Linked DNA regions of Alligator mississippiensis. The protein of the gene in region 3 interacts with the protein of the main gene of each other region in a pairwise test. Links are inferred from orthologs where the notes say so. Each region holds a gene or a part of one and is shown on either strand. Other genes may lie near its edges.

Region 1 (7,866 bases), on a different chromosome or scaffold from region 3:
CTTGCAGGAGGTGCAGCAGCGCATCCAGGACCTCACCATGGGCATCCAGGAGGAGACCCTCAAGCAGAGAAAGCAGAGGTGCTACCCCTGGAGGCACGGGTCATTAGCTAACAAGGAAGCTAGGGGCAGAAATCTGTCTCCCCAGCACTGGGAGGGCTAGTGTGGGGGGTGGTCAGGAGCCCGGATGCCTGGGTTCTTTCCTGGCTTGAAGCCTGGTGGGTTAGAGCAGAGGGGCTGGGAGCCAGGACACGTGTACTATTCGGCTCTGGGAGTGCACTTGGGATGGGTGGGTTAGAGCTGGAAGCTTGGATGCCTGGGTTCTGTCCCAGCTCTAGTCAGTCTTGCATTCCTACACACACTTCAGTGTGTGAGTGCACACATGGGTATGTCCCAGATGCCTGGGGGTGGGTGGGTGTGTGTGTGTGTGTGTGTGTGTGACCTGGATGCCTGGCTTGTGCATGCATGTGTATGTGTGATAAACCTGGACACTGGGTTTATTTGTGTGTGCATGTGAGAGAGAGACCCAGATGCCTGGGTCTTTTCTGCATGAGTGGCGGGGGGTGTGTGTGTGTGTGCGCGCACGCACGCACGTGTGGCAGGTGCTTGAGTCTAGTGTGTGTGCATGAGAGAGAGACTCAGGTGCCTGGGTTCTGTGCGTGCGTGTGTGTGTGTGTGACCTGAACATGTGGATCATGCGTGTGTGTATATGAGACGGAGAGAGAGAGAGACCTGGACACCTGGGTTCATTTGTGTGTGTGTGTGAGACACCCAGATCCTTGGGTCCTGTGTGAGTGCATGTGACCCAGATGCCTGGGTTCTCTGTGTGTCACAGACACCTCAGTTGTGTGTGTATTTGACCTGGATTCATTTGTGTATGTGTTTGTGACCCAGATGCCTGGGTTCTGCATGTGTATGTGAGACACAGATACCTGGGTCAGTGTGTGTGTATGTGATATGCTTGGATGCCTTGGGCTCATTTTGTGCATGTGCACACGTGTGTGACCCAGACACCTAGGTTCTGAGTGTATGTGCATGTATGTGTGTGCCCCCACCCAGCTGACCCCTCACTTCCTGCCATACCACACACTCCAGGGCATCTCTGGCCGTGGCTGGGTACAATTCCTGTACCCCACAGCCACCCCCTCTTCTGCTTTCAGGCTGGAGTTTGAGCAGCAGCTGGATGAACTGATGGAGAAGCACAAGACCCTGCAGGAAGGGCATGTAAGAGACATGGGAGGGTCTCCTCATGGGGAGCCCGGATGCCTGGATTTTCTCCCAGCACCAGGAAGGGAGTGAGGCCCAGTTAGTTGGTTGGGAGCCAGGACACCTGGGTTCTCTAACAGCTTTGGGAATAGAGTGGGGTCTGGTAGGTTAGAACAGGGTGCTGGAAGCCTGGACACCTGGGTTCTCTCCCCATTCTGAGAAGACAGGGAGTCAGTCACGTGAGTTCCCTGGGTAATTAACCCAGAGTTAATTAATTCCCCCTCTCCTCAGACCATGGATAAGCTAGCTGTTGAGATCCAGAACATGTCAGACAGCTGGGAGCGGCTGCTGAGAGAAGGTGAGCAAAGGGGCACTTGGCATGATGTTGGCCTGAGGGGTCTGTACAGCACTTGATGCCTCCTGATCCTGGCCTGGGGTGTCTGTACAGTGCATGGTACCCCTGATACCAGCTGGGGGGGGTCTGTACAGCACCTGGCATGTCCTGTGACACCCTCCCCACTGGCCCAGATGAACTGATCCAGGCCAAGCTGATGCAGTTGAAGCAAAGTTGTATGTGCTGGCCCAGGCTGGGGCTGGCGCCGTGAAGAGAGGAGGTTCCTGAAGAGCCCGGAGGCCAGTGCTGCCCTGTGAGTGCCTGGGTTCCCTGGGAGAGAAGAGGGACTGGCGGGATTAGAGCAGGTGGGTCTGGGAGCCCAGATGCTTGGGTTCTCTCCCAATAGGTATCAGAAGTGGGAAGGTTGAGGGTCATTTTGCCCCCCAGCCTAGATCCCAGACACCTGGATTCTGTCTTTGACTGGGTGTGGAGTCTTGTGTTTTACAGGGAGGGTAGGAGCCAGGACTCCTTGATTCCCACTGCATCTTGGAGGCAGAAGTGGGGGCTGGGAATGGGCAGGGGATGGGAGCCTGGATGCCTAGGTTCACTGGGCAGTGAGAGAAGGGGGGACTAGGAGCCCGAATGCTTGGGTTCTCTGGGAGGGGAGTGGGGGTTGTGGGTGAGAACAGCGGGGACTGGGAGCCAGGACATCTGGCTTCTCTGGGATGGGTGTGTGAGCTTGGGGTTGAAAGCAGGTGGTCTGGATGCCTAGGTTCTGCTCTGTGGCTTGACTAGAAGGCAGTTCCGGCCCCCCATATACAATGCCAGATGTGGCACCCTGGCGTGGGGTGGGAGGATGTCTGGTGCTCACCCTCTGCCCTTCCCCAGACAGCTGCTGCAGCAGGAGAACCAAGGTGCCCATTCCCAGTTGGAGGTTGCCACCCAACGCCACTGCCAGGGGCTGCAGCGATGCAACCGTGAGGGATGCCTGGGTTCTGTCCAGTTCTGGGAGGGGAGTGTGACCTGGAAAGTTAGAATGGGGCTGGAAGGTGCCTGGGTCCTTTTCAGCTCTGGGAGGGAAGTTGAGCCTGGTAGGTTTGAGCAGGGGGACTTGGAGCTGGGACACCTGGGTTCTCCCTAGCTCCAGGAAAGGAGTGTAGGCTTGGTGGGTTGGAGACCTGGGGCTGGAGCCCAGATGCCACCGGTGTTCTGTCTGAGTTTTAGGAGGGGAGTCGGAGAGCAGAGGGGCCTGGGCAGCTGGACACCTGGGTTCCCTTCCAGCTGTGAGAGCTGGGGTCTCCTGGCAAGATCAGGCTGCAGCCCTGGTGGCCAAGCCTGGCAGCCTCTCTTGCCGCATCCCAGCTAGGGTGGGGTGAGGTGGGATTGGCTCCTCTCCAGAGGTGGATGCATTCTCTAATACTCGCCCCCCTCCTCCTTCCAGGCTGAAGGTGGAGCTGGAGGGCCAGGGGTGGAGGAGCAGCACCAGCAGGCATGTGGGCTGAGGATTAGGGTGGGGATGGAAGAGTAGATCCAAGATGTGTATGGGGATGGGCAGAGAGATGGAGGCATAGGGTGGGGGGATGTGTATAGGGATGGATGGGTGGATGAGGTGATGGAGGGAAGGATACAAGGGTGTGTATGGGGGGGAATGGAGGAATGATGTTTATAGGGCAGGTAGAGGGATGGTTACAGGTGTGTGTACAAGGACAGATGGATGGATACAGGTGTGTGTGTGTGTATAGGGATTGATGGATAGAAGGCTATAGGGGTGTTTTATATGGATATAGAGAGGGAGGGATGGATACAGGGTGTGTATGGGGATGGATGGGGTGTAGAGGGATGGATGTGGGGGGGTGATGTTTGGAAGGTATGGATGAGTGGGGGATGAGGGGAGGGAGGAAGAGGGATGGATGGATGGATACACAAGAGTATGTATAGGGATGGACAGGGAGGGATGGACACAGGAGTATGTATGGGATGAGGGGATGCCTGGACACGGGTGTGCATGGGGAGGGAGGGAGGGAGGGATGGATGGATGAGGGTGCAGGTGGATGGAACTGTGGGGGGCAGGACCTTCTCTGTCGCAGACCACCAAGGAGGGCAAGTCCAGTGCTGGGCCCCCATTGAGCTGGGTGCCTGTACCCTGCTTGTCCCCCCCCCCCCCCCCCCCCCCCCCCAATCTGCCCACAGCTGGCACCAGGGACCAGAAGGTGGCTGCGTGACACCAGGATGGCACCCTATGTTGGAGTGAACCCCTATTGTCTGGGCATTCGTCCTCCCTCCAGCTTGGTACCAATAAAGCCATCACCCACCCAGCATCTTCTCACTGCTGTTGGGGGCAGGAATGGGAAGGGTGGATAGCCCTGACACCTGGGTTCTCTTCCTGCTCTGGGAGGGGAGTGGTGGTACTGGGGAGGGAGAGCTGGCAGGGTTGGGAGCTTGGACACCTGGGTTCTTAGGGAGGGGAGTGGGGGTTGAGCATCCATCCCCATACACTCCTTTAGATCCATATCCATCCCTCCCTTCATCCACATCATATCCCTGGAACCAGAGATGACCCAAGCAGGGTGCAGCCTGTGCAGGGCCCTGCCCCTGCACGCCCTAGACCCAAAGAAGCTGGTGGTGGATTTGGGGGGTCGGGGATTTCCGAGCAGCCAGACATGAAGCCGGCAGCAGCAGCACTCAGTTGCCGTGGCCGCTCTGCCCAGTTCTGTGGGGGTCCCAAAGTGCCGGGTTGGGGGTGGCTGCCCCAGCTTGCCCGCTGCCTAAGGACAGCCGTGCCTGGAACCATCTCTTCATCAATCCCTAAACATGCCCCTCCCCCCATACCTTTGCATCTCTAGCCATCTGTCCTTCCCCATATATACCCCATATCTCCATCCATTCCCATACTCAACCCCGATCCATCTCTCCATCGCTACACCCGTTCTATCCCTCCCTCTATTTACCCATCCATCTATCCTTCCCTGTAGACACCTCTGAATCCATCTCTCCCTCAAATCATTCTTTCTTTGACTCAATCCGTCCAATCCGTTGGGTGGCGTTCGATTCAACGTGTCTGGTACTTGACACAATCAAAGATGGCCACACCGCAGTGTCATAAGTCAGACGGCCACATAGTAGAAGCGGTGGCGGCCATGTTTGGTGCGGGTGGAGAAGCGGAGCGCTTCTGCTGGAAGGAGGGGCCATTTTGAAGGCGGGCACCCTCGGCCACCTTGAGTCCGGTCCCTTCGCCGCTCTTAGACCTCGGCCATGTTTGAAGAGGGCAGAGGAGCGACTAGGCGCTGGGTGATGATCAGTGGAGGGGTTCGAGGCAGGCAGGATGACCCGGAAGCGGAAGTACCGCGGAAGTCAGAGATTCTTTCGAGTCCCTTGTTTTGTTGGTTCCTCGCAAAACAAGGGACCCTCAGCGGCAGCTATGGTGAGGGGTCCCGGACACCTGTGTTGTGTGGGTGGGGGGAAGGGCTGGGGCTTGGATGCCTGGGTTTTCTGGGAGTTGGGGGGGCATCTCGGACACCTGGATTCCCGTGAAGGGGGGCGCTAGGAGACCGTGCGCCTGAGTTCTTGAGAGGAGGGGTGTGTCGGACATCTGGGTTCTCGGGGGCGGGGGGTCGGAGCAGGGGAATCCTGGACACCGGGGTTCCCTGACCCTGCCTCGCCCCCAGGACAGCGAGTTCTCGGACGCGGAGCCGGCCGGGGCGAGCGAGGAGACGCGCTCGGAAAATGGGGAGAAACGCGCCGTTTACTGCATCTGCCGCAAGCCCGACATCAACTGCTTCATGATGTGCGCGGGGGGCGGGGCCTGAGCCACGTGGGGCAGTAGGGAGCGGACCTTGAGCCTGGGGACAGGGTCTGAGTGAAAGGAGGAGGGCCGTGAGGGTGGGGACGGGGTCTGAGCCTGTGTGTGGGGGGAGCATGAGGATTGGGGGCAATCTCTGCTTTGAGGGGAGCCTGTTGCCCAGAGGTGGGCTTTGGGGGCGGGGCCTGAGCCATGGAGGTGGGGCTTGTGCCCTTGGCTGGTGGGGGTGGGGGGCAGGGCTGGAGCCATAGGATTGGGCCAGAGATGTTGGAAATGGGCGGGGGGGGGGTCAGCCTGTTCCACAAGGATAGACTATGGGGTTGGGGTCTGTGCCATTGCAGGAAGACTGTGGGGTTGGGTGTAAACCAAGGATTAGGATGGGGCCAGGGATTTGGGGTGGGGGGCATGGCCTTGGCAGGGTCTCACCTCCTGCTCCTCTATTTCCCCGCCCCCCCATAGTGGGTGTGACAACTGCAATGAGTGGTTCCATGGTGACTGCATCAATATCACGGAGAAGATGGCCAAGGCCATTCGGGAGTGGTACTGCCTACAGTGCCGTGGTGAGGGACTGGATGCCTGGGTTCGTTGGGAGGGCAGTGGGGGCTCGTGGGTTAGACCAGGGGGGTTGGGAACTGGATGCCTGGATTCTTTTGGGCGGGGGGAGTGAGAGTAGTGGGGTAAGGGGCCTTGGCGCCTAGACACCTGGATTCTCTAGGAGGTGACTGGGAACTGGAGGGTGAGAGTAGGTAGGGCTGAAAGCCAGAGGCCTGGGTTCTCCCCAGGTAGAGGAGGAGAGTTGGGCCTGGCCCTTGAGAATATTGGCTGCTGGAAGCCCAGATGCTTTTTTGTTCTCTGAGAGGAGAGTGAGGGCTGGGAGTGTTAGAGCAGGAGGTGCTAGGAGCTTGATGCCTGGGCTCTCTCTGGGGGAGCTGGGTGGAGCAGAGCAGCGAGGGCCGGCCCAGACTGCTGGGTCTCTTTTTCTCCCTAGAGAAGGATCCATCACTGGAGATCCGGTACCGTCACAAGAAGTCAAAGGAGAAGGAGAGGGACCATGAGCGTGACCGACCTGATAAGGATGATCTGCGTAAGAAGGCCCAGGAGCTGGGCATAGACCAGGCCCGTGGATCCAAGGTGAGGGGGCAGGGCTAGAGGTGCAGCCTGGCCTGTGGAGGTGAGGTCAGGCAGGGAATGACCTCACAGCATCTTCTAGGTGCTTGCTATGGAACTTTCTGCCCCCCCCCCCCCCCACCCCCCCCCCCCCCCCCCCCCCCCGTTCCATGTCTGGACAGGAACCAACAACTGGCTCCAACTGCCATCCAGGCCCTGGTTGGTGGGTGGAGTTAAGGGGGTAAGCCCTGGCCAGCCCTTAACTTCACTCTCCTCAACTACATAAAAGCTAAGGGTAAGCCCTGGCATTGACTCTTTGATTCATTGCCTTATCTGGCATTGGACTGGTGGGCAGAGTTAAGGGGGAAACTGAGGTTGTGTCCTTGATTGGCTGCCTTATCTGGCATCTGGTTAGTGGACAGAGGTAGAGTGAGCCCTGGTCAGCCTCCGATTGGTCCCTTTAGCTGTCATGTGATTGAGTGGATTTAAGGGTAAACCCTGGGCTTGGGTCTCTGGTCCCATCTAATTTGTGGGCAGAGTCAAGGAGAAGCTCTGGCCAGCCTTTCTGAGTGGATATGCGGTAATTGGCCAGCGTTAAGGGTAAATCCTGGGCTTGGGTCTCTGATTGGTCCTCTTGTCTGGCATCATATTGGTGGGCAGAGTTAAGGGTAAGCCTTGGGGATGGCTCTCTGTTTGGGCCCTTATTTTGTTATTGGTTGGACAGTTATGGTTAATCCCTGGCTAGTGACTCTAATTTCCTTATCTCATGTCTGATTGCTGGGTAGAGTAAGGGTAAACCTTTGCTGGCCTCTCTAATTGATTGATTGGTTTCATTATCTCGTTCAGTTGGTGGACAATCAGAGAGCCACCCCCATGGTTTTCCCTTAACTCTGCCACCAATCAGATGTGAGATAAAGGAATCAACAACACTGTCCAGGGCTTACCCTTAATTTAGCCCAATCAGAGTCAAGATAAGGGACCACTCGGCCAACCCTGGGATTTACCTTTAACTCTGCCCACCAATCGGATGTGAGATAACAAGCCAAAGTTAAGGGCAAGCCTTGGCCAGCCTCTTTAAACGGTCCCTTATGTGTCACTCCATTGGTGGAGTTAAGGGTAAGCCCTGGCCAGTGTCTCTGGCCCATTATTCCTCATGTAATTGGTCAGCACAGTTAAGGGTAAACTGTGGGGTTTCAGTCTCTGGTACCTTATTTCACATCTGAACATCAGGCAGCGTTAAGGGCAAACCCTGGCCAGCTTCTCTGGCTCCCTTATCTCATTCCTAATTGGCAGGCAGCGTTAAGGGCAGACCTTGGTCAGCATCTCTGATTGGCTCCCTTCTCTTTCACTTGATTGGTGGACAGAGTTAAGGGTAAATCCTAGGGTCGGGTCTCTGCATGCTCCCTTATTTTGCATCAGATTG
Region 2 (7,704 bases), on a different chromosome or scaffold from region 3:
GCCGCCACTGCTACACTCCATTCTCAGCAGCGGGTCCTAGCAAAAAAGGGTTGAGAACCACTGATCTAAGCATAGTGCCCTGCAGCCATGTTCTGCTAACATCAGTTTACCGGTTCCTAGCTCCTGGTGCCAGTCTCAGGAGTGACATCTGGCTTTCCCTCATTTCTTTCCAACCAAGTTTTCTTTCTAGGCTTTGGTTCCATCTCAGCTCAGCCTTCCTTTTATTCCTTATGGGTTCACCTGAATTGGACCAGTCTTCTTTGGGAATAGCAAGACCACTCTCAGGGCTGTGGCTGTGCTCCTAGTATTACTGCTTTAACAGAGGCCTAGTATTCCTTCCCCTAAAGTGGCATCCTCTAGAGCAGGTTCAGGACAGGGCTCCTACATAACACTGCTAATCCTCCAAGGGCACCTATACACGTGCTCTGAGGTGGGGAGGGGAAGGGGAGTGTTTTAATTAGAGCAACTCTCAGGAGCCGCTCCAATTAAAATGCCCACGGCATCTCATGGATTCAGCGTCCTGCTTTTCAAAATGGCAGCGGGAGCACTAACTAAAGTTCATTCAATGAATACACAAGATGCTGCAGCAAGCTGGAGCGTTCCGATTTGCACACTCCCACAGACTCAATTAATTCAAACACATCAGAGCACATGTAAAAGTGTCCAATACAGTGGTTTTCAACCTGTGGTCTGCAGGCTACATCTAAGAAGTCTGCAAAAGATGACTACGATCAATCAAAAGTATCTGAACACCGACACTTACAAATTCAAAGGGGTCTGCACCTCTATTTGAAATGTTTTAGGGGTCTGCAAATGAAAAAAGGTTGAAAACCACTGGTCTAATGAATAACATTTATCTGCATTTTTCAAGTTTGTAGTTCTTCTTGTGTCTCAGTATCAAAGAGACATCTTCCAACTGCACTATCTTCAGTAGGTACTAATGCAAAGCTAATCAGCATGGAAATTTAAAAAGCTGCCAGTTTATATACTTGCTGACCTAAATTAGGCAAAGTATGTTCACCTTGCATGTAAAACAGTGTTTCCCTATAGTTTCCAGACTTTCTCTCCTAACACATATGGAAAAAGATCTAATCATAGCTTGTAAACCAGGTTTACTATCACTTCCCCAGAATTTCATTTCTTCTCCTTGTTACTTAAATCAAAGCTCAGTTGCAAAGTTGCTGAATGTTTTGTTTACTAAAATGCCCCAAAACACAACATTTGCACTGTTAGAATTTGGTTAGGGTATCAGGATTTTGAAAAGCACCTCCATTCACATTCTCCCCTAACCTTCCATGGTGCTACTGCTGTTCAGAACAAGAAGTACAATTGGTTTATAATGCTGATGGATAATGATCACAAACAGCCCATATATGTATACATGGGAGGATCCCTTCACAGTCTTTTCCTGCCTAAGACCATGCTGATTTTTTGTCTATTTGTAAAGCACTGTTGGGCTTCACACACCCCAAATAGATCCTCTTGCACAGGTGAGCCACAGTGATTTAAAGTAGTAGTCTTCAACCTGTATTCCACTGGATTTCCACAATAGGTCGGCAGGAGTTCCACAAAGAAATGGGGGATAATGATGAAGCAGGCCATAAGGGAGTGTGTTGCCATTTCTGGGCTGGGTCTCCTGGCTCTGCATCAGCTCACACACCCTGTAGCCAGGGGTAGGGGTTCTACAGAAGAACAAGTGGCATGAAAGTGTTTCACTATTTTAGGAAGTATGAAAACCACTGATTTAAAGGACCTTGCAATGGAGTCTTCTGGGGACACTGTGAGAACTGTTGAACTAGCTCTATACTAGCAAGATGTTCTTTAGCTAAAGCAACAAAGTCCTATTGCTCTGGAGAAGGAGGATCAAAGCAGCCACACTCCCATTTCCTTCTACCTCTTTAAGGCTCACACAAGACTTTCAAATAGGTATGTCCTCTCTACACCGTTTGGCAGACTTCTGTAATGTTTCTCCTCCCCTACTCAGTGGTGTGTGCTGTAAATAACCTTACCCTGTTTTTTCACGTGTAGCTTCATCCCCTGCTACCAAAAAAGGGGCTTGCTAAGTTATCACTCACAGCTAACTCTTGGCCTTGCCCTCTTCCCAATGCCCAGTCCCACAATAGTAACTTAACATACTCCTCATCCTTATCCATCATTTACAAGCCAAATAGCAGAGTCCTAAGAAGTTTCTGTAATTAGCCATTTACTAAGGACAACTAGAAGATGACTGCTTGGCTTATGGCTGCTCTGGAAGAGGCAAGCAGCAGTCTCCAGGAGAGACAAATGCCCCAAAGAGTACATTAAATAGATCTACACACAGTTTTTTCTCAAAGCTGTACAGTCAGGCAAGGAATTATAACAACCAGAACCTGTGCCTTGACTGTCCCATTTAACAAAATTGAAATATGCCCAATGCTCTGAGATAAAAACGTTGCATAGTTAGTAACCATCACCAATTCAAGTCAATCTTTTATCCAGTAACTAAACAAAATATGCAATTCAAAAAAGTATGGACCAAATACTGAAAACATACTGCGGTGAAACTATTTCCACCAGGAAGCTACACTTGCTGCATAGAAGACAACACAAAAAAGAAATTCAAAATACATGAAAAGTGGAGATTAAAAAAAAATCACAACATAGAAGCACCCTGAAGTAGTACATTCAAGAACCAGTCCCTCTGTCTTTAACCTGAAGTCCTCCCAATTGACTTTTTCCTAGCCTAAGCAGGGATCTGTTCTAGTAGTAAAAATTACAACCTCTTTACTTACCATGCTGTACCAGAAGTCAGCTTACAAAGGTTGCATACACACATTCAAGTAATCTGGGAGAATTCCCCTGGTAGAAAGACTTAGCTGGAGACACCTGAACAGATATTCAAACCCTGAACCCTTGAAGAGTAGAGATTTTGCAGTGTTGATGCTGCACAGCCAGGGGGATCCTGTGTACACATCTCAGCATGCTCTGAAGGCTTCCTTAGTCTGCCAGGAGACAAAACGGTAGCAGTACATGGGGCATCCCTGATTGGCTAACCTAGCCTGCTCAAAGTGAGTCTGTTTCCCAGCAACACGATGTTGGATTGCAAAGGGGGCGTGTTTTGCAACCTGCTTGGCTGCAGCAGCAGAGTGTACCGAGTGACACACTGTCCCCTGAGGGGAGGGAGCAAAGCACCCTGGGATGCTGAAGGTAGAGTTGCCACTGCCACATCCCCAGAATATAAGACATCCCCCTTGGTGAGGGGTGGGACCACTGGCCCCTTTGGCCAATCAGCGGTAAGTGGCAGGACAACTGCCTCAGCCAATCAGCAGCAAGGGGTAGGGCCACTGGGATCCTCCACCTCCCTCTATCCCTGGCTAGTTCCAAACCCTGCTCCTCCTAGCTGTGCACTGCCCTACTTCTAGGCACAACCAATAGAATCACAAGGACAAATGCTTGACATGTATCTCCACCAATGAACTGAAAAGCAGGAGTTTTTGCAATCTGTTCCTCATTCAGAAATGCATAGGAGACAAAGGGTTTAAAAACAGGACAGTCCGGTATAAGAATGGTCACCCCAGCTGGAGGTCAATTCTGTGGCTTCTCAGAAGAAAATGCATATAAACATTCACTTTCCCAGGAGAAACTCTGTTGGGAGCGATTTGACCCTGGTTGTTCCCAGGTTATTTTTGTCCTAGAGTGTCCATTTTTGCTCCGAGAGAAAAATCCTAAATATCTGTATGCTTGTAGTTTCTCCTGAGAGGGCAGGAGAAAATGATTGTCTGTATGTGGCCAAAAACATGCATGTTCTTGAATATACTTCCTGCAGACAGACGTAGAAAGATGGCTGCTGATTAGGTATTACTTTTTTATGTTACTAAGGTAAGAGGCTCAGAAAAGTTACTTTACTTTGAAAACTAACCTTTTATTCTTAAAAGGTGACCAGCAGCAGGCTAGGCATCCATCCCAGCATCATACTGCTTTCTTCATGCTATTTCTAACTCCTGAAGGGAGATTTTATTTCAGAAACTAGGGATGTCATTGTCAGCACTCTATCCAGTTTGAGGAGTTAGAGGAAACGTTGTGCATTTTGCCTACTCATCTTCTCTGGGTTCATGTAGCTAAATAAGGTGCTTCATTACATATTCTGTACCTTGTTATCAGCACTGTACCTAGACTCCTGGTGGCCCCCGGCAAACTTTTAGTATCAGGTCCCCCTTCACCAGAGATAATAATAATAATTTTTAAATAACCATTTTGGGCCCTCTTTCTGTCTGGCCCCGGGTGGCCTCTTGGTTCGCCCAGGCCTGTGTCTGGCCCTGCTTGTTATGGGATATAGTTGTTGCACTCCATACTATTTACATGAAAAAAGAGAACGGTGATGCTTGGCATAGGTATATTGCAACGTTTGATGCATTTGGCTCCTTCCCATGAGAGATGTCATGTGTCTAATTTGTTACAGTTGCAGAATGGAAGTGGCGAAGTGGCCATCGGTTCATAAGGAGAAAGCATAAGACAAGCTTAGGGAGACAAAGCCTGGGTATGAAGATTTTAATTTGGAAAATTAGAACTGAGTAGATGAATTGTGGTTCATTTGGTGCAGACAGAAAAAAAGAACTTTAACTTACTTGAGCAATTAATTTTTTTAGTCACTGTTTACCTGGTAAGAGACTATATATAGTATGTAGTTTTTTCCACAGTCCTGTGAGTATTTTGATTAAGATGCCAATTATATTTCTGAAGCAACAGTAGCTGCAAAAAAATACCGTTATCATGGTATAATTCACAGAACCTGAGACTACATGTTAACTACGCATCCATTACAAAGCCATGTTGAGATACCGATCTCCCCAGCAACAACAATAGAAATACAAGAGGTGAAAGATCCAAAAAGCATACTCTGAAAACATGCTTTTTAATAGGGGTAGGAGAAGACTCAGACAGAAGATCACAGAGGCTTCAAACTTTGACATCCAGCTGAGCTGAAATAGCAAGTAAATTGTACTTCTTCCTCCCTGGCTGTTTATATCACTGAAAAAAATGTGGCTTAGATGACTACATTAAGCTAGGACTTTTGCTACTGCTTTCTTAAAATATTGGGATAGCTTGTGTGACGGGCTGGCTGGTAATGACTTAGACCAGGGGTTTTGAAAGGGCAAAAGATGATTGGAGGACTTGGGATTCCCTTTCCTCACCAATCTGGTAATGATTTGGCCCAGGGGTTTTGAAGGGGTAAAAGAATTGGAGGACTTGGGATTCCCTTTCCTCACCAATCAGGCCCCAGAGACTCAACCTCCAGGTCCCCTGATTGACCCTGTGGGTCACCTGGAGGGAGATAAAAGGGGCAGCACGGCTGATTCAAGGGAGACCAGTGAGGGACCACAAGGAAGGAGCTTCAAGGAGCTGGCAAGAGCTGAGCCAGCAGGGCAGGAGCAGTTGCCCCAGAAGAGCCTGAAGGAGTGGGACCTGCAGGCAGCACTGGGGTCCTCAGCAGTGCAGTATGCGGCTGGTAGGAGAGGTTCCCCACTGGGCTCCAGCATCCTCTATGAGAGGCTGTGGCCAGCAGGAAAGGCTCTCCAGCTCCAGCAAGATCTGAGCAGCAACCTGAGAGGTTCCCAGCTCTGCTTCCAGCTCCTTCAATCAGAGCCCAGGCAGCTCGATGTGAGGCTGGGGCTCCAGGAAGGTCAAGACCCCTCGCAGCTGGGAGCAGTACCAGCACTGGTGTGGCAGACTTTCTGCCTACCATGTGGGAGATCTGCATTCAAGTCCCAGCTTTAGTGACTTGGGGTGAGTGAGCCAAGGAGAAATTCCTATTGCAGTGGGAAGGGGCCATTGTGTTTTCCCTCTTTCTCCCCCTCCAGGTACCTAGGCCCTATATTCCTTGTAATTTGATATTTTGTACCTTTTGTATTTCCAGTAATACCAACCAGTGTTGTTTGTTCTGCTGTTTGTGTTTTACATTTTGGTGAACCCCGTCTTTTGACAACTGGATGAATATGTCTATGATTGTAAGTGTCTAACCTTTGTTTAATCCTGCCCCTTTAGGGCATTGTAGTGTCCCCTATGCCCCCCCCTGGTTTATACTGGCTATGTTCCCAGTATTGTTCCCTCATTAAAAGTTATATGGTTAAGTCCCCATTGGTGGTCTAGCTCTGCTCTATAGGGGGAGGAGAGTCCCTACACCTCCCACAGCGCTTGTGCTCCTGCTCTGCTCCCTTCAATTGGAGAGGGGGTACCTCTTGGAGTACCACCCGGGTTACACTTGTAACCTTATGGTTTAAGATGTGTGTGCTTTCTTCCATTTAATTTATAGTGTCATTTGGAGAGAGAGCTTCAGGTTTGAAGAGTGAGAAGTTGGATGCTCTAAGACCTCAGCACCTTTCAGGCACTGGGATGATAATCTTTAGGGTTCCTTCATGCTGACAAGTCATGGCATATTCCTCAACCCACTCACTTTTGAGAGCCTACCTTGACCTTCTCTTTCCATTTCCAGGAAGAGATTTCTCTTCTGAACCATCAGCCAGAGGTACCAGTGACCAAAAGGCTCTTCCAGAGCTGTGATGTTACTGCCTCTGCTGTGAGTCACTTCTTCACAGCTTTTAAAGAGGCTGTTTTACAAAAATACTTCTAAAGAAGTAACTTAGCTGAAGTTTAAAGATGAGCTTCTATTTATACTGAAAATTCCAGCAATAAGACTTCTCTGTAAACCCTGACAGCCAAACTTTCCCCAGTCATTTCTGCAGTGTTTTTCCCAAAGCCTATGCCATTGCTTATTAATGCTTACAGAAGCAGTTATTAGCTTTCCACATAAAGCAGAGTCTGTTCTAAGAACAAGCTTAAAACCACTGAAGATGAAAATGAAGAAATGTGGGTGCCTGTCTGGCAGCCAGCCAGCCAGCCAGCCAGCCAGCCAGCCAGCCACCTACGAGAAACACCTACAATAGACTTAGCCAGACCATCCAGCAAATTAAGCTTTACAAGTAATAATTGCTTAACTTATCTAATAAGCACATTCAGTCACATTTCAGTTTTTGACCTATGAAAATTCATGTGTAAGATCAGAAAACTGCAAATATAACTGTCGTCAAACATGTCAGAATAGAAATTAAGACTAGACTTAATCCACATTGGTATATGCCGTTAATATGCACTGTCTGTGATTTAATTCTGTTAATTAACAAGTGTTTGAATGATCAGGATCAGGAGCGCTCCATTTCTGGAGAACACAGGTTTGCTCCAACATGCCCAGATATGTCCGCTCATGGCTAAATATGGTCAAACACTGCCTCAAAGTTTAAACCCCTATGAGCAAGTTTGTCAAATATTTTTACTGTGACTTATAAAACCTAGTCATCGCTTTAACAGATTCTGACTACAGTATTGCCAACCCTACCGTGTCAAAAATCACGAGACAAACTCTTAAAATTCAAGAGATTCGGTATGTAATTCATGAGATTATTTTTCCAAGTGTATGTGTGGCGGGGGGGAGGGGTGCTTTTATTTGCAAAGGTGTGGGTGTGTGTGGGGTTTGGAGGCTGGGGAGGGTGGCACACTCTGGCAGGATGTGGGATACTGTGGGTCAGGGCTGTGGCTTGGGAGTGAGGGGCCAGACTCACAGATGGGTCAGGTCACAGGTCATGCAACAGAGCCACAGGTGGCTCATCCAGAGGTGTGGGAGAGGGGGGTAGTCAGCTCCCCGCCACTGTGCGTACCCCTGGAGAGGCATGG
Region 3 (7,373 bases):
GTGGCATATTAGAGACTAATTTGTACCCTGCCCTGTCTTCTGTCTGACTTCAGATTAACATGACTACTTATCTCTACTAGACATGTTATGAGCAAGTTATTCAAACATTTGACACAGATGCTTTAGTCAGGGATGATCCTGTCTTGAGCAGGTGGATGGGCTAGGTGACCTGCTTCCTGACCTTCCTTCCAGCCCTATTTCTCCATGATTCTGTGATTAATATAACCAATTGCAGTTGCATATTTGTCTAAACTGATCATTAATTAAATAAGAAATGCGAAAAAAAAATGGGAAGTATTTACCAAAATGTAAATCTGATTCCAGGACTAGTATGACCTCACTCTTTTATCATATCATCATGCTTCCTCAAAATAACCCACAAAAGGAAGAGAACATACATTCAAAGTAAAGAGATAAAGTTCTGAGGAAAAGAGCTTTTCGGTAACAAATGTGCTGAACAAAGTCCATGAGGCTGATTACTTTTCAGTGTTCCTAGCCACTCAATCCCTCTGGCAGGGAGATCTAGTTGGAATTTATTGCTAGTGTAGGGAAGGCAGTATTTCCAGGGTCTACTTGGGTAAATAGTAGATGCCTCTAGTTTTAATAAATGATCTAGTGACAAACGGTAGACTAGGATTATGAATCAAAATCTACTAGGATTGACTAGATTTAGAAGGATTACAAGTCATAAAGAACATAGCCCCCCAAAATGACTCTGCTTCTGTTTCCATCACACTCTCACTTTGTCCTTATACATGACTATTCAGATTTGGACACTCCCTATACCTACAAATGCATGGCACCCCTATGAGCACACATATCGCCCCCCTGTATGCCCGTATATTTATAACATACCTTGAAGTCACTTCCTTCACAGCTGCCCTCTAATCTCTTTAGTATGCCTAAAAAAAAAATTGATGACATCATCAGGTGGACACATGGAAAGGAATCTCTAGAGAAATTCCACCAGGACTTTAGTAATCAGGACTCAAAGTAGAGATGATATCCTTGATTAGATCCACAAGATTTTTGCAAAAAAAAAAAATATTTTTTTTTAATTAGAAATTAATGAATTAGTGCTGAAAAGCTTGCACTTAAAGATTTTTTTTTTTGCAAAAATCTTGTGGGTCTAATAAAAGATATAATCTCAACTACGAGTCCTGATTGCTTTTTCCTCTAGGCCAATATGGCTACAACCTGGATACCTGACACCAGGGCTGTAATAACTTTCATCCTTCCATCAAACTGACTCTGGAATACTCCACCTAGAAAATTAATTTCTTAAAAAAATATGGTGAAAGTTTACAATGTCAACATCACCACCACATTTTATCAGAAACCAACTGGCTGCTTGCTACAGCTACCTCTATACCATCAGCTTTTACCCTAAGCATACCACTAGTTCCATCATTCATAGCCAAGTTCCGTGTTACAACTATATTAGCTCTGATCCCACCAACCAGAATGAATACCTCAAGGATATGAAGCAAGGATTCCTATACTTACAACATAATCCAAAAAATGTAGTCTTGCAAATCAACAAAGCCACATTCAGATTCCATTCCAACTTTCTATAGGACCAACCCCATGAGCAGGACAACAGAATCCCTCTTGCCACCTACAAACTTGAATACCTTGGATGCAACATTAATGACCTCCAATACTTCCTGGAAAATGATAACCATCTCAAGGCAGCTGTAGGAGGCTTAGAGGCATCCCTCAAATCTCAAACAATTTATCTCCAGTAACAGATTACCTAAATCCTACTCTCATCAAGGCACCAGGCCCTGCAATGGACCCAGATGCCAGCTGTGCCCCCTCATCAACAGGAATCACATCATTACTGGACCAAACAAGGGGGATTATAACATCTGGGATTCATGTACCTGTTCTTCTACCAATGTCATCATGTTGTTGGCTACAAATGTCCAACTCGGGATCCTTAAAATTCTAGTTTATTAGGCAGATTGAAACACTGTAATCATAAACCTTGGGGATGGTCCCCACACACACACACACATGCACACACATACACACACACAGTAGCAGGCTACAGAGTCAGGTATACCTATCCTACAAGCGCTGGAGTCTGTTGTTGAGGCTTCTTTCAGCGTGGTGTTATCTTCCAGAAGGGGGTCACCGGCTGGTCCTTCTGGCTGGACAGGTCTGGTTGAGTTGGAGATCAAGAGGACGCCACTGAGGGTCACTTTTCACTGCCTTTTATCTGTCCTTGGCAGACTTTGGTGACTCCCCAGTTTTCAGGTTTGCCCAATCCAGGGGTCATTGACCCTCGTGGGACTTCCCCCCCCCCCTCGGTGGCTACTGGATGGCATCTGTCAGCCCCAGGGGTCGTCCACATGTACGTGCAGGTTTGGGAGTCCATTGATGAATTTAGAATAGGGCTCTGGGAGTGGCCGATCTGGAGATATTCAGCCCAAAAGTTGGTCTCTGGCGTTGATTAACTCAGGCCAGGGCTTCTAGCCCTTGATCAGTGAAGTTTAGAGATTTCCCGGTTGTTACATTGTCTTCTATTGAGTTCTTCCCTTGGTTGATCTGCAGCTTCCAGGTGATAATTGCTGTCTGGTGTTACTGTGTTACACATTCAATCACCTTACACATTCAATCACTGATTCACTCTCAGGGGCCAGCCTGATACAAGGAAGGGCAGTTTGATTCCTGCCCTTGTTAACATTGTTACAATGTATAATTTACTTATGAAACTAAACACATTCAGTTGAAAGTTGAAAGGTGAGGAGTATAAAATATAAGCTACAAATGCCATGGCACACAAATAGATAAAAATACCAAACTACAAGGGGAGATACAAAATGCACACACACACATTTTAAAACACAATTCCTTATCTTAAAGTGAAAGAGAGAAGAAGGAAGAAAAGGTAGAAAAAGAGAAACATATCCAAAGAGGGGAGAGCAAATGCAGGCAAGAGAAAAAGGGGGCTTTCTGCTACAATGTGGTTACAGTGCCCCTCTGCTGTCTATATTAGACAAATGAGGCAACCCCTCTGTGAACCAATGAGAGAACACCCATTTGACATCAAGTCCAAAAAAGGACAAAAGCCTTTAATCTTCCTGGACTTTACATTGCTAACCTCAGAGTAGCTGTTCTTATACAGTGATACTTTAAAAGTTGACTCAGACACAAAATTGCAGAACAAGAAATCATTCACAGATTGGATTGTGTTAAGTATGGTCTAAACAGGGACTATGGGTTCTTAACCCATTACCTAAAACAGATTGTTTTACTGCTTCATATACACCCCAAAGGAATTGGGGTGGGTCTCGGAGAGGAAGCATGTCTAATTTATGCCATGCCTGCCAAAAACAGTTGACCCCCATGGATGATATATGACAATGTTATGGAGTATCTGGGCAAATGCATAATTTCTGCTCTTCCCTCACTACTGGATAGGTTTGGAAGGATGTTTAGCGGAGAAGGTGGGATGACTATGGGTGAAGTATTGGTTGCCAGGCTGTGAGCATGTGATGAAGTCTTAGGGCTAAGTGAAGTTCATGGGAACAAAGGTGCAGTGGTGTGGTCAGTGTGTGCCGTGGGCTATGTGTGTCTTACAGGGGTAGTGGACAGGTCGACTTCTCACCTGTGATGAACTTCAGCACAGTGTTTACAAACACAAGCTGTCCCTCACACTCAGGGAAGTGCTGAGTTAGGGGGTGACTCACCAAGGTTACTGTATGTGTTTGCACCTGGTGGGGGCAAAGGGTGTTAGGGGTCTGAAGCATGAAACAGAAGGCTAGCTCCCCACTGACTGTGTGTAGATGCTAGGGGTGAATATGCATGTTTGTGTGTGGGGGGGATCCCTAGGGTCCCCCATCTGTGCTTTCAGGAAGGGGCGCTAAGTCTGGCTCCCTGGGGCTAGAGGCCCTGCTAGAGGGGCACCCTTTATGTAAAGTTTAGATGACTGTTTGTATGGGACGGCTTGGATAGAGACGATCCTGTGTTAGACAGCGGGTTGGATTAGTCACTACATGAACTCTGCAGCTCCCTTCCAGCCCCACTTCCCTATGACTATGCCCATGGCCCGGCTCCACGCATGCGCGGTCCTCTAAGCCTGAGCTCTAGCTCACAGGACACCAGGCACACGAGAGCCGAGAGGAAGAAGCGGTGGAAACCAGGGCCCGCTTACGCAATTTCCTCTCTATCCCGCCTCTCCAGTTCCGCTTGCGTTTCGGGACTGGGAAGGAGGAAAGGGAAGTGACGAAAAATGGGTTCGCAGTGAGCCCAAATTCCCTGCGGCGGAGTGCGCATGCGCACGGCTAGCCATCAGGGCCACGCAGCTGCTGTGGTGGTGGTGGTGGTGGTGGTGGCGGCGGCGGCGGCGCCGGGCGAGGGGGGAGGGGCACCTGCGCATAGTCGGCCCCGCCTTCGGGTTCCGCGGGGGCGGGGCTGGAAGTGACGCAGCGGGGCAGGCTGCGAGGAGCCGATGGCGACGGCCCGGTGTTGACGTCCGCACAGGTGAGGCTCCGCACTGCCCTGGCCCTCGGCAGTCTGCCTTCCTCGCCCCGCGCCAGCCCCGGCAGGCCCGGGGGCGGGGGGGCAGGTGGTAGCCATTGGGCGCGGCGGTTGGGGTCACCGCCTCACGGGCGTTGGGCGGGGGCGTCCTCAGGCGCTTCCTGCCTAGCGGGGGGGGAGCCGCCCCGGCTCCGGGTCACGGTGGCACCGGCCCGACCGGCTGCTCCGGTGACATTGACCGCGCCGTGACCGCCCCGGCCCCCCGGAGCCGCCGGCGGTGGCAGTGACGCTGCGGGCGCCGCAGTGCCCGTGTGCTCTCCCCCCCCCCCCCCCGCGACCCAAAAGCCACGAGCACTGCGTCGCTGTCATACGAAACCCGGTGGGAGCCGGTTTGTTGTTTCAGAGTTTCCCTGTCAGACCTTGCAGCAGGTCTGGCTTATCTCTAGCTGCCTGCTGCTGAGCACCGGGGACGGCGGCCTGCACAGCTGGGCGCTGCTGAAGCTGGTGGGAGGGACCCAAGTTCCTGCCAAACTCTGGGTGCTGGGGTTGGGTGGCTCAACCTAAGCTGTCCCTTCCTTCCCAGCATCTTTAGCACTGCCCCAGTGTCTTCCTTTCTGCTCAGTTGGCTGTTTGTGCAGGTCCCTATTCATTTGTGTCCAGTGAAGTTTTGGTTGTACCCTAGGCCAGGGGGATTACTGTAAGGCTATAAACAGGCAGCCCTTAATGCTTAATCAGCAGATTGGTTCAGGGTATCACTGCTATCAAAACGGGTGCTGACAGGTGCAGCTTAAACGGTAATTTATTCTTTTTTCTAAGGCAAAGTGTTAATTCAGGTACTTCAGAGGTACTTGATGTCCAACCGTGGGCTTGTCCCTCTAGGGCCTGTTGTTCCCTCTAAGATGCAACGCTCACATTGGAATCAAGCTGGTTGTCTGTTTTAGCCCTGTCAGTTCCAGGTTTTATTTAATGCTTGTGTTGATGAAAGCGGAAAACTGCTGCTTGTTTCACATCTAATCTACCAAAAGAACTTGCCCTTGTTTTTTAGTACTTGCTTGTGTTAATACTAAATTAGATGGTAAGAGGCTTAAGAGCTGAGGGCTAGAAATCCTTGCATGGCTTGACAGAACAATGTCTGTTAATCCAGTTGTGCGTGTTGTTTGGGGAAAAACAAGCTATCTTTTTTGCCGGCTTTTAAGAATGAATTCCAGCAAGCCGGCAGGAATATTCTAGGAGGTGATTCTAAGTCTTTGTACTTTAGTGGGGGCTAGACTGGGTCCTCTTGGATGGTATTTCCATTGATTGTGGGGCTGTTGATTTTGAAACTATGGATGAGTAATGTTTGAATTTTTTAAAATCGAAGCCTTGATTTAATCATAGTTTTCAACAAAATGTGCATTCTTGTTGCTGATCTCCTCTATTCATTTAACTTCTTGAAACTTTGCAGATTTAGAGAGAGGTAAGGGCTTGACTTTGTGTACACAAACTTGCAGAGACAAGAGAGGTGATGGGTAGATACTCAGGTCTGTTATCTCTCATTTTCATATAGCACTGTTATCAAGGATGTTATCTGGAGATAGGCAGGTCAGGTTCTTTGGGTAGATGTGATATCTTTTATTAGACCAGTTCAGTAGTTGGGAAAATATTTGTAACATTTGGCAATTTGTGTAACAAGTTCTTTGCAAACTTTCCGGTGCAATCACTCTTCAGGCATAGGGAGACTCCAGAATCTCTTGTGTAGTTGAGATAAGTAGAGAGCTGTTTGATGCACCCCATTTAGATGCATGTTAGTAAGCACTGTTTGATGTTAATAATCTCTTAAATGAAACTAGTACTTTTACCAGGGTAAAAAACCCATAATTGTACTGTTTCAGCTACGTCAAGGACTACACCTTCCCGTCTGCTTTCTCTGCCATGACATAGCGAGGACATCAGCCCTACTAGTCTCCTTTCCAGATCTAGAAGAGCAACAACCAGAAGGAGTTTTAGGGTGAGAAGATTATGGGAATCCCTCATCTATTTTGCCTTCTTTTCTTACATATCTAGCATAATTTAATGTCAAGTGTGTGTTTGAGCCCTCTTATTTCCTTTGTTTTTCCACATAGGGTGGCAGTCTTTTCCTTTCTTGCTGCCCAAATGACCATATTTTGTTGCCTGATGGTGTTTAAATTCCAAAAATGTCACATGCAGGCTGGCATTCTATTTTTGGCATACGTGGCTATTCATACATGTAGGGCTGCACATGCAGAACCAGAGTGCCAACCTGCGTGTAAGTGGCACTTTTGCTTGGCATTCAGAAATAGATGCTAAGGATGGCATTCCATTCTTTTCTGGATTTAGAGGCACCTGTCTGGAATGCTTGTCCGAGTGGCTTTTTCTGTATGGGTCTCTCTCTTTCATTTGCATTTCTTTTGGTATACAAGATTAAACTATATTTTCATTTCCGAAAGTGGTCACTCTGGGTGTAGGCTAAGCCAAAGAGAGTGCTTTGAAGCAGTCTGTGCGCTATCTGTAGATGATGTTCTGTGATTGAAGGAATTCATTTTTAGTGCTTACCTTAAGAAATTAAGTTATGCCTCTTTCCACTAAGTTAATGTTTAACTTCTTTTAGGAAAAGTATTCTTCTAGTAAATTGTTTCTCAAATAATAACTTTGTTATGTTACAGATCAGTCATGTCATCCTTTCAAGAAGTTCCATCTTCAAGTAATGCTTTGCAGACTTCCAACTTTGCACATGTGATCTTTCAAAATGTGGCAAAGAGTTATCTTCCTAATGCACACCTTGAATGCCATTATACTCTGACACAATATATCCATCCTCACCAGAAAGATTGGGTTGGTATTTTCAAGGTAAGCAATTGGTACTCTTTCTCCCCCCTCTGCCCCCC
Region 4 (7,017 bases), on a different chromosome or scaffold from region 3:
TGGGACAGACAGGGATTTGCGTTCCCTACATAGGTGACAGGTGCCTCTTGACTCTGGGGGGGGCACCCACAGAAGCTGCTGCAAGCAGGGATGGAGTTGGCGGTGTCAGCAGCGGGGATAGCCATGTCAGGGTAGGGGGGGGCACATGCCCCTCTGTGCCCCTCCCTACCTTGCACCTATGCTTCCCTGCACCACCTCATTACAATGCACCTGTCTAGCAAAGGTCTGGCCTGGAGCCTGCAAGTCCTCACTTTTGTTCCCAGCATTGCTACTGACCTGCTGTGCAGCCTGAGGGGAGAGACCGTTTCCCCTGCAGCTCTGTTTTCCCTGCCCTGGGCCTGTCCTGCCTTTTGACACACTCAGCTCTATGGGGTCAGGGACTAGCTCTCATAGAAGCCCCCCTGCAATGGGGAGACATCTTTGTGGGGCCTCAGGATGCTGTCGTAACACAAACACGCCAGGACTCAGAAGCTAAGGAAACAGGGCTGGGTGGCATGCCAAGGACAGACTTCCTTCTGCTTCTCACCTTCCCCAGACTTATTGCTAATGGCCTGGGTGCTGCCTCTCATTCCAGCGTGGGAATGAATCATCCTCTCTTTTGTGTGTTCTCTATAATTTTCCTCCTGTTCTTACTCTGCCCAGAAACAAGAGCAGCAAAGGAAGAGCAATACATTCCCAGCTGGCCTGCCTCCCTTGCTCCCAGCCCCGCACCCCTATTCCAGATGGGTCAGGTTGATGGCAAGGCTTCCCAGTCCCCACCCAGAGGTGGCTGCACCAGAATCCCAGAGCAGGCAACCCCCAGGAGCTGGGACTGAAGCCATCTGTTCATTTGGTCCCCCTCACACAGAAACCCTTATCCGCCTCGCATACACAGGTTCCCACGCACAGGTAAGCCCTACAGCGGGCCAGAACACCTTCCCAAGAACATGACGACTGGATGTGTTGGTACTTGCCTTGCCTGGAATATATTGCAGTATTTTGTCTGTGGTGATCTCTCTCTCCTGTCCTGATTCAATGCCAAAGAAGCTGCTCAGTTTTTTCTTGCTGTCTTGTCTACAAAGAAATAAAACACTGAGATCAAAGCTAGCAGGGAGCAAATTCCTCAGAAATCAGGGAGAAAGGGAGAGTTGGCCATCCTGCAACCCTCCCCAATAAAGGTCTATAATTAGCTTGCAAGAATGTTAATTGCTTCTCTGCAGCACTTGTTGGCTTTTCTTTGTGTTGTTTACTTACCTTTGCATAACTAAATGCTCAAGAGTTTATCTCCAGCACTGTGCAGATAACAGAGGGGGCAGCTTGCAGATAGATCCAGTGGGGATGGTCTTCCAACAGCCTTCAAGGTGGGGAGGGATGGATCAGATCCTCCCAGGGCTCACCCCACACCCATACCCACCCACTTTTCTTTTCCTCTTTGTGCCTGCCCTATCTCATCCTTCAAAACTAGAGCAGAGCTCCATCCTTCCTGCTTGGTACCTGCATCACAAGCACACCTGTGAACATGCATGGTGGCAATGATCTAACATGCATCTCGAGCAGGGACTCATGGGCTGTTTTAGCTCTCCTAGCCAAATGGCAGCATGAATGCTCTCAGGACCAAACTGTCACCTGCAAGGGGCTGGAGTGGAGATCCCATAGTGAAGGCAACATAACCCAGGGATGTCAGGGGAAGGGGAAGGTACTTGACACCTGACATGGTTCAACCTTTTCACTGTAAGCTTGTGGCCAGCTCTGGTGGGTCTAAATTCTCCTCTCATTTATACCTGCATTAGCCCAAAGCAACTCCCCTGAATGCTGTTACCTGCTCTACACTGGTATGAAGGAGAGGGAAAGCAGGCCGGAGCAGACCAACAGGGGTTGGGGATAGCATCCCAGAGCGGGGGTGATTCATGCCACTGCTCTCACAGCGTTGCCATTTGCATCTTCAGACAGTGATGGGGAAAGAAATTGCAGCACTTGACAAAGCTAACGCCCCGGCTGCAGCCCAGAGCTCGCATTTGGGGCAGAGCCCTTTGCAGATTCCACTTCTCTAGCAAGCAGCAGCACAGACAATGCCAGGGGGACTGAATGAGCTGGCACGATTGCAGAGGTGGGCAATATTTGGTAAGCGCAGGCTGCAGACTCAGATTGGCACTGCCCTCATTTGGGTTTTATGCTGTTGCCCATCACCCTCATGTCAGGGCACCTTGCAGGGAAATCAGCAGCACAAGTCCCTCAAGGGGATGCATCTGGAATGGTTTCCCTTTAGGGGTTAAACAAAAAAGCACAGCATGAATCCAGTAATTCAAGCTGCCTGGATTTGGAGCGTTCCCCTCTAAACCAGCTCTGATGCTGGTGCCTGCAGTCGCTGACATTCTTATCCGCTGATGAGGCAGTGCCGGAGGTCTTAGGAAGAAATAAAAAAAAATAAAAAAATCTCGGGGAAAAGGAAGGACAGCTGTTTCACTGTCCCCCACGAGTGCCATGGAGAAGTTTTCATTTCTAAAATACAATGGTATAAATCACTGTTGCATAGAGGAGGCAACAATATGCAGCCGCTCGCCCTCCAGAGCTCCAGAAGTCCCACTCTGGCCCTTGCCCTACCTTGATCTTGTTCACAGCTGTCCAGCCTCATGCAAAACCATGCAGAATTCATATTTGCTAAGCCCGAAAGCAGCCCCTGGGTGCCCTGAAACAGTCTGGGTTACTAGCCCAGTCTCTGCTGGTGTACTGCAAAGGGGGAAAGCAGCAGCAAAGCTTTAAACCCAGTCCTAAGTAAAAGCGAGCATACTTACTCTTTCTTCAGCGAAGGTTTCCTGCTGAACGAGTGTCTGAACGAGTGTCTGAATCTCCCAGGTGGCTGGGGAACACAAGTTATGTTCCCCATATTGAGAGCAACTGGGATAATCCAGGAGCAGCTGGGAGTGAGAGCGCTAGGCAGAAACTGAGCGAGCGAGTGTGGAGCCAGGGAAGTTTGTGAGTGTGTCATGCAGACATTCCCCACTTCCGTCTGCAGTGACTCTTGTGGGTGTGATCTGTGAGCAAACAGACTTTTGGCCAAAGGCTGTTACTGGGTTCCCTGCCTCCCTCTCCCTTCCCCTCTCCACCCCCGCACAGGGCTGGTAGCGGGGAGCTTTGCTATGGAAATGGGAGGGATGTTTCAGGTGAACCAAAGTGTTTGGAAGTACCTGTGATCTTCCCAACTCAGGCTGCGGAGGAGGGCAGAGGAATTTGGCAGGGAATTGTAATCACTCTTAGACAAGGAGGATTCTGCACAATGAAGCATTTACAACTCACAGTTGACATCTGATCCCTAGCCAGATCCCTCGACTAAGCACCACAAAAGCCACTGAGGCTGGCTGGAGGCAATATTTCAGGATTGGGGCCTCGAGCGCACAATGGGTTTGGTGCCTGTGTTCAGATCTGCATTTATTTTTCTTAATAGTGTCTCTGTTGGCAAAACCTACTGCATTCACAGAAGTGCTTCAAACAGTTGCATCTTCAGACTCAAAATGTGGTGCCTCCAGCCTGGGGGAATTCGAGCTTGGACCTCACCTGGAGCGCCAAAGAGGAAATGATCGCAGAATTAAAAAGGTGTCTGAAGCAACCATGACTTGCTGACGTGTTATTTGCAAACAGAATAAAGTCCAAGCCAGCAATCTATGGACCTCGCATCTTCAAAAGGGCTGGCTTTTTCTGCTGAAAACAGTTTTGAGCCAAATCAGCTGAAAGGAAAGGACTTAAAGAGGAACAACAGGGGGGATTAATGAGGAACTGTTCCACAACATCTTACTAAATGCTCAGACAAGGACAACTGAGAAAGAAGTTTGCACTGGTGAAAAAAACCCACCCTGGCTTACAGGGGAAGTGAAGGTAGCTAAACCAACGAATGAATGGGGAAAATTGGTAACATTCCTTATGAAATGGAAGCAACAAGGGATGGCCAAAAATTGATGAGGGAAGCAAAAGGCCACAAAGGGGAATGAATGGTCTGCAGAAATGAAGGACTGCAAGTGGGAGGTATATTAGGTATATAAGGAATCCTAACAGTGGCACTGGTCCATGACTAGATGGAAATGGTAGAAGTGTCAATAATCATTCCAAAAAAGTTAGCAGTGCTGAATAAATATTTCTGATCTGCCATTGGGGAAAAAGCAGATGTAGTCATATCACATGATAAAATACTTTCCATTCCAGCAGTAACTTGGGAAGATGTTAAAAGACTATGTGTAAAGCTAGACATTTTCAACTAAACAGGTCCGGATATAACTTGCATCCAAGAGTTTGAAAAGAGCTGGCTGAAGAGCTCTTGGAACCACTAATGCTGATGTGCAGTACTACACTGGAGAAGTCCCAAAGGACTGGGAGACAGCTCCTCTCATGCCAATATTTAAAATTATATCTATAGATTGGCCGGCCTGACACCAGCCCCAGGCAAAATAATGGAGCATCTGATAAAGGACTCCATGAACAAAGAGTTCAGAGAGGGTAATTAACACTAGTCAATATGGGTTGGAGGAAAATAGGCCTCGTCAAATAACGCAGTATCTTTTTTTTGGTGGAGAAATGTTCGAAAACAGCTGGGAGCATTGCTGGGGCACTGAGCTGGCAGGGATCTTTCAGTTTTCTTTGGAGCCACCTGTGAGCTTTTCTGCTCAGATGTGGAGGAAGGTAGAGGAGCAGAATCCAGGCTGTGAGGCACCTGACTTGTATTCTGCATGGCAAGTGATTGAGAAACCAGCACGTACATATTGGCATGGCACAAGAAGAACTTAAAAACTGCCTAATGCCTCCCAGTGTCATTGGTAATGGGGGTGCTTGTGGGGCCTTACAGGGGTGAATTTGGATTCCTATATTGTTCAACAGATTGGTCAATGCCCTGGAAGGAAACACAGGGCACATCTACACGTGCACATTTACTGCGCAGTGACCAAAATTACTGCACAGTATGGGCACACGTCTACATGTGCACGCCCATACTGCATAGTAAATATGGTGACTTATGCTGACTTGAGCGTAAATTTGACACCAGCATCATGCAGGTATCAAATTTACGACCAATTAGTTACTGCGCAGTAAAACACATGTAGACGCCTTACTGCGCAGTAAGACTGTGTGGGTGGACTGACTTGGGATTAACTTTAGTCCCAAATCAGTCCACACACAGCGTTAATGCACTTTAACATCTGCATGTGTAGATGCCAGCCTATTCCGGCTTACTGTGCAGTAATTTACTGAGCAGTAAATTTAAGCCAGTGTAAATACACATGTAGACATGCTCACAGAGTTGTTGCCAGTGCCTTTTTCAGATGACACTGAAATGGAGAGAATGACCAGAAATGAGGAGGGCAGGTTGCTGTTGCTGGAGCATTTGGCAGGCTGGGTCCATGTGTGTTCCCGTATTGCCAAATTAAGTCCTTTGTCTAAGAATAAAGTATACCAACTACCCTTTTTGGGGAGGGGTGCGGGGTGCTCCATCCAGGGAAGCAGCGACTCTGCGAGAGTTTTAGGTCACAGTGGATAAGGCATTAGACATGAGCTCTCACGTCAGCCTCCAAGAGATCCATGGAGGTGTTAACACAGGAATCACAAAGGGAGCAAGGAGCTTACATGGTTGCTTCTGGATCCACCCCCACAAGGACACTGGGCCCAAGTTTGGTATCTGCAGTTCAGGGAGGAAGCAGAGAAACTGGAGAAGGTGCAGAGAAGAGCCATGGTAATGACTCCAGGGATGGAAACCTGCCTTGTAAGGGAAGATGCAAGATGCTCAATCTATTTTGCTTGTCAGAGAAGAGACCAAGGAGTGACCGGATTACAGACTTTAAGGACCTGCTTGGAGAACAAACATTGGATAATCATCTAGTTGACGAAGGCAGAACTAGGTCCACTGGCTGGGGTTGAATCTGGACAAGTTTGAACTAGAAACAGGGCACAGCTCTTTAAACACCGAGAGCAATCCATCACTGGAACAACTGACAAGGGGCAGCAGTGGCTTCTCCATTACTGGAAATTATTATACTCAAGGCTGGTGTTTTTCTAGCGGTTAGGCTGAGGTCAAACAAGAACTGATTTAGGGAAGTCTTCTGGGCTTGAGTTATACAGGTTACATTAGGGGATCACCATGATCCCCTGTGGCTTTGTAATCTATTCATTTCCCTATATGTAATTCAGTGCCCTTATGTTGTGGGGCTCCACTGACAGGTTCACAGACACTTGAGAAATACACTGTGTTGCAGGGCAGGTAAAAAATTTGACTTGTGGGAAAAGACTGGGTTGATTGGTTTAAAGAACTGGTCCCTGGTGTGGGAGGAATCAGGAGTGAAATGGGTGTCAGTGGGTTACATTAAAAAAGGCAGGACAGGGTGGGGTTTCTGCAGGGCAAGGCAGGAATAAAAGCATTTTCCAATGCTGGGCTCCACTCTGGAACAACCTGATAATAACAAACCAGGCTTCAGGAGAAACTGCCACAAGGCTGTTCCTGGAGCTGCAGTGCAGGCGCTGGGGACGAGCCCTCCTATAACAAACCCACATAGAAGGGTGTCTTGCAAGGCCAAGATAATGGCAAGGAAGAGCGTTGCAGCTGCATTCATCCAACTGCTTATTGCAAACAGCAGCAGCTGATTATTGCAGCTGGGGAAAGCACCCTTCTTCTGCTAAGCGATTGTGGCAGTTTGATCACATCTCTGTTCAGCAGCCTGCGCTTATTCTTAGTAAATCCTGACAGCCCACGAGAATGACACAAATGCCCCCTGTTCTTGTAGATCCTGCAGACAGATGCAGCTGTACTCTGGGGGACCTTTGTTTCCAAGGCACCCCCACACTGGAAACAGTGTGCATGCATTGGTTTTGGACACCTCTAATTTGCTGGACTAAACAACAGTTCCCCAAAGTCCTTTTCACTCTCATCCCAGTGACAGGAGGGCTTCACAGGGGCGGCAGCAGATGGGCTTCATGCTTTGGAAAGCTTTATGCAACCAGTGGTTATTTATAGACAATGAAGACCAGAGTGAGAGCTTGGACAGCAAAAACAGAGCGGGCAGG

The links.
Region 1: the proteins of TAX1BP1 (region 3) and CXXC1 interact in binary tests that used the Homo sapiens proteins (3 or more experiments, as listed by UniProt). The two-hybrid records come from large-scale screens. The link is inferred for Alligator mississippiensis from reciprocal best matches to the Homo sapiens genes TAX1BP1 and CXXC1.
Region 2: the proteins of TAX1BP1 (region 3) and LGALS8 interact in binary tests that used the Homo sapiens proteins (3 or more experiments, as listed by UniProt). The link is inferred for Alligator mississippiensis from reciprocal best matches to the Homo sapiens genes TAX1BP1 and LGALS8.
Region 4: the proteins of TAX1BP1 (region 3) and PLEKHN1 interact in binary tests that used the Homo sapiens proteins (3 or more experiments, as listed by UniProt). The two-hybrid records come from large-scale screens. The link is inferred for Alligator mississippiensis from reciprocal best matches to the Homo sapiens genes TAX1BP1 and PLEKHN1.

Annotation. Positions count from the first base shown.
Region 1 is NC_081831.1:27,528,976-27,536,841, reverse strand, and holds the start of CXXC1 (CXXC-type zinc finger protein 1), read left to right. Parts: upstream 1-4,859; coding exon 4,860-4,876; intron 4,877-5,108; coding exon 5,109-5,321; intron 5,322-5,795; coding exon 5,796-5,896; intron 5,897-6,324; coding exon 6,325-6,467; intron 6,468-7,866. Other genes in the region: synaptonemal complex central element protein 1, read left to right, coding at 1-78, 1,158-1,221, 1,495-1,561, 1,732-1,808. UniProt on the Homo sapiens protein: Transcriptional activator that exhibits a unique DNA binding specificity for CpG unmethylated motifs with a preference for CpGG.
Region 2 is NC_081824.1:153,842,935-153,850,638, reverse strand, and holds the start of LGALS8 (galectin-8), read right to left. Parts: upstream 3,012-7,704; 5' UTR 2,775-3,011; coding exon of another isoform or gene 2,772-2,774; intron 1-2,771.
Region 3 is NC_081828.1:155,583,194-155,590,566, reverse strand, and holds the start of TAX1BP1 (tax1-binding protein 1), read left to right. Parts: upstream 1-4,373; 5' UTR 4,374-4,491; intron 4,492-6,359; exon of another isoform or gene 6,360-6,475; intron 6,476-7,151; 5' UTR 7,152-7,158; coding exon 7,159-7,335; intron 7,336-7,373.
Region 4 is NC_081836.1:9,515,047-9,522,063, forward strand, and holds the start of PLEKHN1 (pleckstrin homology domain-containing family N member 1), read right to left. Parts: upstream 3,007-7,017; 5' UTR 2,966-3,006; coding exon 2,772-2,965; intron 1,054-2,771; coding exon 954-1,053; intron 1-953. UniProt on the Homo sapiens protein: Controls the stability of the leptin mRNA harboring an AU-rich element (ARE) in its 3' UTR, in cooperation with the RNA stabilizer ELAVL1.